2 linked regions of the Tribolium castaneum genome follow. The protein of the gene in region 1 interacts with the protein of each later gene in a pairwise test. Links are inferred from orthologs where the notes say so. Each region holds a gene or a part of one and is shown on either strand. Other genes may lie near its edges. The genes, in order: Pex12 and Pex19.

Evidence for each region.
Region 2: the proteins of Pex12 (region 1) and Pex19 interact in a two-hybrid assay, tested with the Homo sapiens proteins (4 studies listed by BioGRID and IntAct, with this or other methods). The link is inferred for Tribolium castaneum from reciprocal best matches to the Homo sapiens genes PEX12 and PEX19.

Annotation. Positions count from the first base shown.
Region 1 is NC_087401.1:8,581,437-8,587,722, forward strand, and holds Pex12 (peroxisome assembly protein 12), read left to right. Parts: upstream 1-2,746; 5' UTR 2,747-2,761; coding exon 2,762-2,881; intron 2,882-2,921; coding exon 2,922-3,030; intron 3,031-3,072; coding exon 3,073-3,254; intron 3,255-3,294; coding exon 3,295-3,654; intron 3,655-3,701; coding exon 3,702-3,902; 3' UTR 3,903-3,963; downstream 3,964-6,286. Other genes in the region: protein Malvolio, read left to right, coding at 1-10; prostatic acid phosphatase, read right to left, coding at 1,192-2,241, 2,283-2,381, 2,421-2,492; SF2 (serine/arginine-rich splicing factor 1A), read right to left, coding at 4,890-5,048, 5,098-5,270. UniProt on the Homo sapiens protein: Component of a retrotranslocation channel required for peroxisome organization by mediating export of the PEX5 receptor from peroxisomes to the cytosol, thereby promoting PEX5 recycling.
Region 2 is NC_087401.1:15,464,639-15,470,715, forward strand, and holds Pex19 (peroxisomal biogenesis factor 19), read left to right. Parts: upstream 1-2,504; 5' UTR 2,505-2,607; coding exon 2,608-2,674; intron 2,675-2,721; coding exon 2,722-3,359; intron 3,360-3,408; coding exon 3,409-3,516; 3' UTR 3,517-3,575; downstream 3,576-6,077. Other genes in the region: pickpocket protein 19, read left to right, coding at 1-271, 320-440, 492-641, 689-878, 1,352-1,502, 1,554-1,654, 1,707-1,812, 1,864-1,891; Pgk (phosphoglycerate kinase), read right to left, coding at 3,658-3,797, 3,847-3,947, 3,998-4,254; uncharacterized protein LOC103315247, read left to right, coding at 4,337-5,156, 5,286-6,077. UniProt on the Homo sapiens protein: Necessary for early peroxisomal biogenesis. Acts both as a cytosolic chaperone and as an import receptor for peroxisomal membrane proteins (PMPs).

The sequences.
Region 1 (6,286 bases):
GAGGTTTTGACGTCAATTTTAGTAAATTTGTAGTTTTTTTCATGATATTTGTGTGATATTTGCGTTATGTAATGAAATATATTTTATTAGAATTTTTCAAGTTCGGAATTTTATTTCACCTGATTCACCAAGGATTGGGGTTTGGGTGGTATTAATACGCCGATCGGCTGTTTTAGTTTTGTATTTTCGAGTGCCACAATTTTGTTCGAAAACGACAATTAACAATAAGTATATTTGGCCTTGACAGTAGATACTGTTATCACGAAACGCAAATTAAGCTAGAAATCAGTCGTTGCTTTTAAATACAAAATAAAAGGTTGGTGGCACTTATGGAGAACTATAACTTAGGAAAGGAAACGAGATACAAATTTAAATTCAGTAATTACTTGGAAAAAATGTCCTTTATACTCTTAACAGACAGAAAATCATTTTTAATTTATACCTAAATTGTTGAAGATTGTGCCGCGGACTTTTTTATAGCAAATTTAATTCTCTAGAACTTCGTTCCTTACACTTTCTTGTACCTTCAACCGTATTTCCAGCGTTTTGATAAATATACGACGGTGCACAAAGAATAATCGCTAAGAATTATCAATTTGAGTTCCACCTTATATTTTTGCGAATGGTGCAAATACGGTTGAAGATACAAAAAAAGTGTAAGGAACAAAGTTGTAGAGCATTAAATTTTCTACAAAAACGTCCGCGACACCGTATTTCTATCTTCAACGGCTTAGGAATGAATTACCTTTCCAATACTTGACCACCGGCAAAATGAAGCAAATCCGTCACTTGAGAGTGTTTGAATGACTTTGGAGCCTAAATGGTTGAAAATAGAACTTTTTTGTAGGAAATTTAATTCTCTAAACTTTGTTTCTAACAATTTTCTTGCATCTGTAACCGTATTTGCAGCGTTTTGAAAAATATGGGGCAGAGTGCAAATTGGTAAAAGTTTGAAATTTTTTTTGAACATAGTTTAGGAGAGTTTGATTATTTTGTTTATGTGTTAACCGTTATACAAATACAACTTAGACGCCCTCTCGCGACATTAACGGAACTATCGGAACGGGAACGTTTTATTTGTACGTCGTTTCACATCCTAACCTTTAGCTCTCCGTAGTGGCACTATTACAAAGTGACACCAACTGGTAACAGCAAGTTTTTGGCCCCTGAGAATAAATACTTGACAAAAAACTAAGCGACTTCATCGATTGCCAACCTCGTATAATCATTACCACTGTTTTTCAAATGTTTAAACCATGCAATAATGACCCACAAAACTAGAGTAAAAACAAGAAAACCAATCGCAATGCTTGAATACACAAAAATGTGATTATAACGCTCAAAATTAGACAGTTGACATTCTAAATCCCACTGTTTTCGTGTAATAACGATGGGTTTTAAAAGCGCAATAAACTCGTCAAAATCACAGTTGAAATCACACCCTTTTGGCGTAATTTTCTGCACTTGACTGGAATTTTTGTAAAAAACGTTGAGATAAAAACTTGAATTTCGCCTCAATTCGAACATTATGGTGCTAGCGTAGGGGGGACAATGGTACTCGAAGGCCCCCATTGTGTTAAGTACGTTCGCTATCGTGACATCATGCGCCGAAAAAACGAGAAATTTCCGGAAATTTTCAATTTTTTTGGTAGCGTTGCGAAAATGTTCAATAATTTCGTTAAAAAGGGGGCCCGTTTTAAGCCTCGCCAAGTCCCTGTTATAACACTGGGTGGCGAAGCTTAGGTGGGCCCACGGGGCCATTTTTTCGGGATAAACCCCCGAGGTCCACTGGGGCAAAACAAACTTATTTAAACTTTCGATGTACAAGGTGTTGTATAGATACTCGAGAGTCTCGAGGGACGTTATATTGGCCCCTGAATTTTTGCTCAAATACGCGTACAAGTCCCGATTTTGTCGACTAATGTTGGCGAAAAACTCGGTTTTGAAAAGTTGGGTTAGAAGCGAGTTGTATTTGGGGCAGTTTTTTTTCATTGAGAGGAGGTTGTCCTCCAGTTCGGGGGTCGTGTGAATTGGGATGGGCTGCCAGGGGAGGGCGGGGTCCCACACTTGGTCGGCTTTGGGGGGGTACAAGCCGGCCAAGTTGGCTTCGGCGGACATGAGCGTCCTATCGACGTCCGTTGAACGGATGGAGAAGTCTTTCTCGGAATAGTGCGGCGATAGGAAGCCCCCATAGCGCTGGCGCAGCCACTGACCCAAGCGGAAATGCTGCTGTTTGCCCAACTAATCAAACGAGTGACACTGCGCAAAAGGGGGCTACTCACGTTCGTCAGCTGACCGAAGCCCACTGGCCAGAACGACGCGTTGCGGTAGGGGTCCCTCGGGTAGGGCTGAATGGGGGTGCGGTCACCATGCCTGTAAATCTGCAAAGGGGTTAAAGACTCGGCAGCCCCCCAACTCACCACAACCACCGAAATCAAATCATCACAGAGCGAGACACTAATAAGTACACAAACTAACACTAGTCTAACCATTGTACTTTGTAATCACAGCATTTTGTTTATCAACATATGGTCAAAATTTTTGACAATTGACAATCAACAAGTGCTGCCATCACACGTTCAACGCACCCGTGATTTGTGCAATTTTACACTCCCGGCCCACCTAACACAAAAAAAAACACACAAACTGATTAAAACACAATTGTCGCGTTCATAACGAATAACCACGAATAAAAGCAACAATGTGAGCAGCCCCACAGAGACATAACCTGTCGCCAGGCCCGCCAACCGTAATTCAAAAAATGGCGGAAAACGCAGCCAATTTCACCCTCACTTCGCAAAACAAACCCTCGATTTTCGAAATAATCGCGTCAAAGTCACTCAACGACACCCTCCACCCGGCACTGCAGAAAATCGCGCTGGTAAGGCTACAATTTTCAGGCGTAAACTAACAATCCGTAGTTTTTGGCCACTAATTGCCCCCAGAAATTCAACTGGTTGGGCAAATACTACGACGAAGTTTTTCTTTTATTGAATTGTGGCCTCCAGTACGGCTACCTGCGCAATTACGGTGAGTAAACCCCCCAAAAACTGTAATAATTGTATATTTCAGACGCCACGTTTTCGGAGAATTTCTACGGCTTGAAGCGTGTCCTCGACTCTGGTAATCAATTGACGAGTCACCACCGTCGCATTTCCTTGTTATTTTGCGTGTTTTTGCCGTATTTCAAACGGAAATTGGACGAAAAGGTGGCTCTGTATCGCTTGGAAAACGCCGACGGTTGTTTGCGTAATGTATGCCAACGTAACTGACCCGACTACTAAAAATCCCTAGAATTTCGAGGGCCGGTTCAAAAAACTGTTAATTTTGTCCCACTCCACGTTTGAGATAACATGGGGGCTGCTCACAGTTTACAATTATATTAAATACATGTCGCAACAAACCGAAGCTCAATTGCCGATTCTTCAATTGATTGATGTCAAGTTGGCGTATTCGGAGCCACTTCCACCTGAGCCAAGTTTCTGGTCGCTTTTATTCAAAGGGCATTTGGCGGATTTGTGGCAATTGAATATTTTGAAAAACGCGGTTACAAGTACCTTCGAGTTTGGGGCGTTTTTCTTGCAGTTTTTGCAAGCCTGGAGCGCTCACCAGAATTATAGTGTGACGGCGCTGCCAACTGTTAAACCACCAATGGTGAGTCTAGTGATAGTGTTGGTAGTAGTGCTAATTTGATTGTTTAGCTCGATGGGAAAGCCCGAAATTATCACAATAAATGTCCGATTTGTTTACAATTTTGGAAAATACCGACTGTTCTTCCTGTTTCCGGATACGTGTTTTGCTTTCCTTGCATTTTGCGGTATTTGAGGGACAACCAGAAGTGTCCGGTTACGAATCTTCCCGCCAAACCGCTGGATATCGTTAGGATATATGATAATGAATAAAAGACGTTGTAGTTGAGAATTTTTTATTGAAATAAACATGCAATTGTGAAAACAACAAAAAGCCACACTTTTTGTCAAGCAAAATGATAAAAAAATATTAATAAAAAACGAAAAAGAAGTCTCAAATACCTGGGAACAAATCCACGAGGTCCTTCCGGTACACTCATCCTAATCCTAGTAATCCTATCCTAATCCTCAAACAGTTTTAAATCCACTTCATCGCCAAAATCCTAGGAAAAGTATTAAAATCCCCCGAAAATTACTACAATTTATTTAAAAAATCCTAATCCTAGGAGTTTGTCCTTTCCTTCCGGTGAAGTGGAGATCAAAATCCCGTGTTTGTGAGACCTATCGCATTGCAAAACATCTCGTTTAAACACTGTTTTTTCAATGAGAAACGTGTCAGTTAATTTTTTGAAATGATTGTGTTTCATTGTTAGAAAAATTGAATAACTTATTTACCGAGCCATTTAATTGTGTGGTGTCCTCTCAACACTCCGAAAAATGCAATGCTTAGTGTGTTAAAAGTTTAAATATCCTCCTCCACGATCTTTGAGACTCCCTCCTAACAACATTCATCCACTCCTCTTGCATCCGGGTGTGTCAAAGATAACATTTTATTGTCTATTATTTTACTATCGACTTTATTATTTTTTCCAAAAACCAGTCCAACGCTGATTGACTCAGCAAATTGTACGGTAACAGAAAAAAGAAACAATACATATTAGTGCCTTATCCGTACTCTAACCTAATTGAAAATTTTTATAAAATTTAAGTCTAAAAAATTACAAGAATGGAGGAGAGAAAAAAACGATTCTTCCAGGAATGTCAGAAGAATTAAAATACCCACATTTACAAATACAAATTCCAGGGTTACCAACCGCTTTTTTTCTCTTGCATTTTTTTTAAATCAATCAAATTAAAAAAATCCCCGGTTTTTTTGATACGTACATTATACAAAAAGGCCAGTCCGTAGAGTAGATTAAATTAGGAGCGAGAACGGCTTCTGGAGTAACTCCTTTTGACCGGACTGTATGTTGGGGAACCCCTCCGACGGGGCGAATATGAACGACTGCGTGACCTTCCCCCTGACCGTCTATCACTCCCCCCACGATCTTCCTTCACCCTTATGTACGAAACCTCCCCCTGACGCCAAATTAAAACACAAATCCCTCAACAACCAAACAACTCTTACCTCATGTGACCTAAACCTCGAATCGTCCAATTTCTTTATAGCATATTTCATGTCTTCGTATCGGAGAAACTCCACAACGCCTGAACCGTCCTTGAACGCGTCCGCGAAGCACACGTCTCCAGCCTCCCGCATGTGGTCCTTCAAGTCCTGCCACGAGCCCGACGGTGGCAACCCTGCAAAAATTCAATTGTAAATATTTTGATGTAAGCCTATGTAAAAAGATCCGGGGAATCGATTGGTGTCGATAAAATCACCACATTCCCAATAGTTTTTAAGTTACGATTTTTTTCATCTTAAAAGACTTCGTTTTTTTTTAATTCAAATATATGCATTTATTTTGTAGTATAATCTCTATTTAGTTCAACGCACTTAGTGCAATGTGTTTCTAGTTTTTTAATCCCATCCCTGAAGTGACTTTCTGGTAGTTCTGCAAAATACTTATTTATAGTCGCTATTACCTCCTCATTCGAGTGATAATTTCTCCTAATCACATTTTTTTTTTAATTGTGGAAGTCTGGGGAAGTCAAATCAGGCGAATATAAAGAATGTTCTAATAATTCATGTTTTTAATTCGTCAATTTTTCCATTGCCAGAGCGCCTTTGCGACACCCTTTCACACACTATTTTTTCGTATCTAATTCTTGGTGCAAAATAAACTACACCCTTTTCTCAGATATCCCTATCACCTTAGCTACCTCATACACTTTCATTCGCTGATTATCCAATATCGAAATTTGCATTTTTTTGAGGTTTTTATCCGTGGTTACTGTTTTGGTCATCCTTCACAAAACTCATCATTGAGAGATGTGCGACCAAGTTTGAATTCAGCTGGCCATTTTTATAGTAGAATATGAAGAGGTTGACTTGAATAAACTTAATAAGATTACGTCTAATACTTCCGGAGTTATTGCCCGATATGCAGGCTGTTCTGTTTTTATTGTTACAAATTTGTATAATAGGTAATAGAACATTTATTTTTAATCATAAATTTCCTATAAACATGTAGGTTTTCCTCAATATTTCAGAAACCGTTTCAGATAAAAATACAAAATTTGGTACAATTGATAACCTTCATACGCCTAATCGAATTTAAGGATCAAATGTAGGAATTTTTAATGAGAGGTGTCCCAAACTAGGGGCACCGTGTGGTCAGATACGAAATATCGACTAAGCTAAAGCTTAGTATTGG
Region 2 (6,077 bases), about 6.9 Mb from region 1:
TGGCATTTTTACATTTTACGGGCCAATTGTACGATTTTGATTTCCAACCGGACACAGTCTCCAAATTGCTACTTTTCCAAAACATTCTCGACTCTTTGAACATCAAAATTGACGATTTGGCCCGAGAAATGGTCACTCCGTGCGAGGATTTATTATCTAGTTGCTTGTGGCGCAACATGGAAGTCAACTGTTCGACGATTTTTTACCAAAGACTGACCTATGACGGCTTTTGTTGCGTCTTTAATTACGTCAAATTCACCCAAGAACTGACGTAAACCCTGATTTTTTCCCAGTCATTAATTTTAATTAAACAATTCAGGTACGAAATTGACCAAAAGCCCGTAACTACGGACGCAGGCGTCGAAAATGGGCTTTTTGTTGCGGTTAATAACAATCTACAGGACTATTTTTACACAACCATATCAGCAGTTGGAGTTATAGTTAAGTGTAATTAAGTGGATTATTGGCTTAATTAGTTGGCGCGCTTTTAGATACATATTTTTGTGCCGACCGATTATCCGGATAAATCAAGCGGCGGCTTAACCGAAATTCTCACTCATCCGAATTCGGAAAATTTCGTCGAAATCGTACCAACGACCTTGACCTCGGTGCGAGACGTCGCCGACTATTCGCTAGAAAAAGTAAGTTGGCAACGGTGATGTTGCCACTGCTGCCAACTTAATTTCAGCGCCAATGTCTTTTTGACCACGAACGCTACACCAGTTTTGGTACAACTTACTCGCAAAGCGACTGTAATATAGAATGTCGCACTATGAGTATATATGCCATGTGTCAATGTATACCGTTTCTTATACCACTCAGTAACAGCAGCAATGTGTGCACGTTGGCCGACGTTGCGTGTCTTAACAGATATAAAGGTGCTTAAGCCATTACATACAGGGTGTCTCAGCAAGACTTAATATCTCAGATATTTGTCAACGGATTTTTATGAAATTTAAAAAGCAGATATTTTAGAAGATAAAGATTAAAATCCAATTAATGCAAAAACTCAAGTCTTAAAAACGTAATTTTTACATGCCTTTTTAAAATGCTAAGCCTTTTAAGACTTATATTAAAAAAATTATCGTTAGTGAAAAATGCTGAAAGAAAAAACTCGTTCGTGGAAGACGTCTGTTTTGCGAGAAAAATGAGAAGCAAACTGTTAAACGTGGGTACGGATGCAAAAAAGAAATGTGTTTTAAAATTTAATTTTTTAGTTGAGGTCATTTTTTTGCCCCTAAAATATGTGCATTCTAAATTTCATAAAAATCCGTTGACAAATATCTGAGATATCAGGCTCGAAAGTCTTAGCTGAGACACCCTGTATACTTTTTTATGAATGGTTTTATAGAGAAGTGGACTTCGCTCTTTCCGGACGACCTTGAGCCAGGCCCGTATTTGCAAAAAGAGCGCCAAGATTCGCTACGTTGCGATAATAAATGTTACTCGTCATGTGCTGAAACGGTGTACGAGGCCCATGCCAATTCTTTCCCAATTTTGAAGTTTGGCAAAATTATTTAAAAAAAAACTTTTTTTTTATTTCTAAGTTTCAGTAAAACGGACAACAACGTTACTCGAATTTTTGTGTATTATTCGGGCAGGTTTTCAAAGTTGTACCTTCAAGACGTTGTCTATTACTGGTTCGAAGTTTTGAGTAATTGATAATTTATTATAGTGTGAAATTTTCTTCTAATTAGCAATTCCAGGCAATTTTGGCGGCATTTTTGGAATATTTGTTGGTTGGAGTTTGATATTTATTATACAATTGTCGGCCTATTACACGCGAAAAATCCTAGAGAAAGTACTTAAAACGTAACCAAATCATTTTTTGTGGAACGTTGGATGGACTTTACTTTATTTTAGAGTGATGACATTGATTTTAAACACTTAGATACGAAAAGTAGTAAGAAAGCCTTTTCAGAATACTTTGATTTTTTGCCCTGTTTTTAAAGTATATTTAAAAATTAATATTTTTTCAAAGATTTCGCCCTGTTTTTATATTGAGCACAAAAATGAATAAGGTTTCATCTGAGCCAGTGGCGGAACTAGGGGTGGGCTCATGAGGGTCCATATTTAGTTTCATTTTGTCTGCTTTTTGCTGTTGGATCTCAACCCACTCTTTTATTATTTATAAAATATATATTTAAATAATAATTTAAAATGTAAATAATAAATATAATAAATGATAATAAATAATAATAAATAATAAATAATAAATTAAATATAATTATGATATATTTGCTATTTATACTAACGGAATTAATCTTTTCGGACGTTACATAATTTAACGTAAATCCTTTTATTCTACAAACATTACCTGTATTACTCTTATAACAATAACAAATGCGTCTTAAAGAGTGTGAAGCGAAAAAATAAATTTTTATTTTCAAATTGCCCATATTTTTCTGTCAAAAACGGCAAGGTACCAACCACACAACAACAAATTATAACGAAAAACGTGGTGGTACACCCTTTTGTAGAAACCTGTAATTGATAGTTGAAGGGAATAGCGACAGGTGGCCTAAAAATCCCCAAATCACCTGACATTTCCCTAACCTCACTTTTGTAACAAATTCTTAAAGCTTCCCGTTTTATACCAATTTTACAATGAGCGAGTCAAAAAAGCCCGATTCGGCCTCAAAAGTGGACGCCGAGTTGTCCGAGCTCTTGGACAGTGAGTCCCGTGGTGTAAAATTCGTTGCGTAACTCCCTCATTTCAAGGTGCTTTGGAAGACTTCAAAAGCGAGCCGCCCAAAGACAGCAAACCTGCGCCCCCACAGGACGAAATCCCGGACGTTGAGTGGTCGGACGATTTTATCCGACAAGCCGCAGCTCAATTCGAGTCAAACTTTGCCAATTTGCTTGGCTCAAACCCTGACGGGTCCCAGTTAACCCCCGAGCAAATCCAGGCCAAGTTCCAGCAAATGGCAGAGACGGCGCAACAAGTCATCGAAAATCCGAGCGGAGACTCGGGTGATTTCGCAGCCACGATATCACAGACGCTCCAGGGGCTGAGTCAGGGGGCTGAGGGGCTCCAGAACCCCAATTTGGAGCAGGATATTATGAACTTGTTTGCGGGACAGGGGGACCAAAACGCCTTTATGCCTTTCATGCAAGGGATGATGCAGAGTTTGCTGTCCAAGGACGTGCTCTATCCGAGTCTCAAGGACATTTTAGACAAGTTCCCGGAGTGGTTGAGCAAAAATAAGGACAAGTTGAGTCAAGAAGACGCAGAAAGATACGAAAAACAACAGAAATTGATGGAGGAGATCTGTGCCGAGTTAGAGAAGGAGAAAGAGAGTGATAGTAGTGAGCAAAAGAAGGAGAGGTTTGACAAGGTCTTGAGTTTGATGCAAAAGGTGCGTTTTTTGTTTAATGTTGTTCCAAGAATGATTTTTCTCGAATTAGTTGCAAGATTACGGACAACCCCCGACCGATCTAGTGGGCGACGTGGGGCCCCCTTTGCCCCTCGAAATGCAAAACAACGCCGACCCCAATCAGTGCAATGTAATGTAATTGGTGAAAACACTGTTGTTTGTTATTTATTATTTAAATAAATTGTTTGGGAAAAAACCGCCATTTTGTTCACCCAATACCAACCACACAAACTCAAAATCACTAGTTTATTACAATAATTTACAACAAAGTTCGGGAAAATCAAGCGTCGGAGAGGGCGGCCACCCCTGGTAGGACCTTGCCCTCCAGTAGCTCCAAACTGGCGCCCCCGCCCGTCGAAACGTGCGAAACCTTATCCTCAGTCTTCCATTTTGCGGCACAAGTGGCCGTGTCACCGCCACCTAGAACACCAAATTTGACAAAAACCGCCCACAAAAGTGATTTAATTACCAATAATCGTGACACAGCCCCTTTGAGTCGCCGCCACGACTTCATCCATTATGGCTTTGGTCCCTTTTGCAAAATTTTCAAACTCGAAAACACCGGCTGGCCTAGAACCCATAGTTGGCCACGGTTGCTAAAGTCAGTCGTACCAACTTACCCGTTCCACACTATCACTTTGGCCCTCTGAATGGGGGCTTTGAACGCTTCGATCGACTTCGGCCCGATGTCCAGCCCCATCCAGCCGTCGGGGATCCCCGCCTCGAGAGTGGCAGCCCCCACTTGCGCCTTCTCGTCGAATTTGTCCGCCGTGACGAAATCGCAAGGTAAGTGAATTTGCACGTTGTTTTGCTTCGCTTTCGCGAGCAAATTATTGACGATCTTCGCCCCCTCGTCGTCGTACAACGAACCCCCAATCTGTGGACAAATCACACCGGCATTGCAAACAATTTCTCAAGCCACTGTCAAAATTGATGGTTCTGTACGAAAAATCCAAAAAATGGACGAGATTTCCAAAATTAAAAGCGGCGATGAGACGGGGCTGTCCATCGAGAAGGCGTGCGAAGACTACACGAAAAGCGTGAAATTGGCCCTGAACTTGGTCAATCAGCAGCTGGAAAATGCCTTCGTGAAAAACTGCAACGGCTTGGAGGAACTGGCTATGAAAATCGCCGCTCGGACGAGTTTCCTCGAACGAAACCCCTCATTTCTCTCCTGCCTAATGTACAACAAAAACGACGTCAAAAACTCACCCTTGCTGGAGTTTGACGAAGTCAGAATCACCCTCAAGGAACATACGAAACGAATCAACGAAAAACTGGACGAAATTGAGCGATTTCACACGAAATTATTCGACTTGGTGGTCTCAGGGGGCCGTGACCCGAAACTCGTCAACGAGTTCAAAAAACTCAAGACTTTGAAAGAACCCGAGGACGAGTTCCAGGACTGTCTTGAGAAAATTGAATCGAAAGGATCGCTTCAGAAGGTCACAATACAGGCAAATGCCCTCTCGGACTCACCGTCACCCTCGGGGGAACCCCCGCTAAAATTCCCGATCTTTACCGACATACAACCCGAAGTCCAACGCGGGAAACCCCAACAAGACCTCCACGGGAAATTAATGCAACAATTGGTCGCGTCCGACAGTCTTGAGGGCTTCATCAAGCTAATGAAGCGCAAACCGGACGAAAAACGCCGCACTAAAGCGAAGAAAAGCCAAGAATTGGAGGAAAAATACACGGGGAGTTTGTGGTTTTTCCCCCAGAAACCGAGCAAAACGCAGTCGGCCAAGTCGACGAAAAGACACGACAGTTTGGCCGGTAAATTACCCATTCAAATCTAGGAATATTTAGTATTTTTTAACTTTGTTGTCTGTCTGAACGAATCGAAATCTTGCATACTTACGTAAACTGCGTGACAATGCAATATTTTTTGTTTTTTTTTTATAGGATCAACTTGTTGCAGTTTATTAGTGACGAGTTCGCAGCCAAGTCCCGTCACTAACCAGGACCGGACTGGAAAAATTCGCCAAAATTTAGTGCGTCCAAAATTGAAATGTTACGACCTTTTGGACGATATTGACAAAAATGATGTGCAACCCATCAAAAGTGAATACCCCAGACGTGACAATATTGGCAACATGAAACTGAAAGAAGCCAAAAGTTACTTGCACCGAATGATGGACGAGAATGACACAGTTTGGAAAAAACTCCTAACACCGACTGAGATTCGCGAGAGAAAACGAAAATTATCACAACTGTCACAACAAAAAGCACGAAACGTCAAAAACTTGATTGAATATTTGACAGCACCTGAACATAAATATTTGACACAACAAGTGCCACAACAAAGTCTCATCGTGATGCCCGTCAAAGTGATCTATGACAATTTCCCCACGACAGAAAAAAGCGAATCGCCGCGTCCCAACATCTTAGTGACCGATTTGACGAAACCGCCCGAAACGCCACGAAGTGGTAAACCTGACCTTGCGAAAGTCCCCGAATGCCCACGAAGTGGTAAACCCGACCTTGCGAAAATCCCCGAATGTCCACGAAATGCTAAACCCGACCTTCCGAAAATCGCCGAATGTCCCCGAAGTGTGCCGTTTCCGCCCGAACGCAAGCAAGAAATGTTGGAACAATTGCGCGGCTTGAAAATGCGTAATGACAACATCCAGAAAAACATCCAAAAAGCAATCGATGTGATTGAGACGAAAATGATTGATTTGTTATCATCACCAA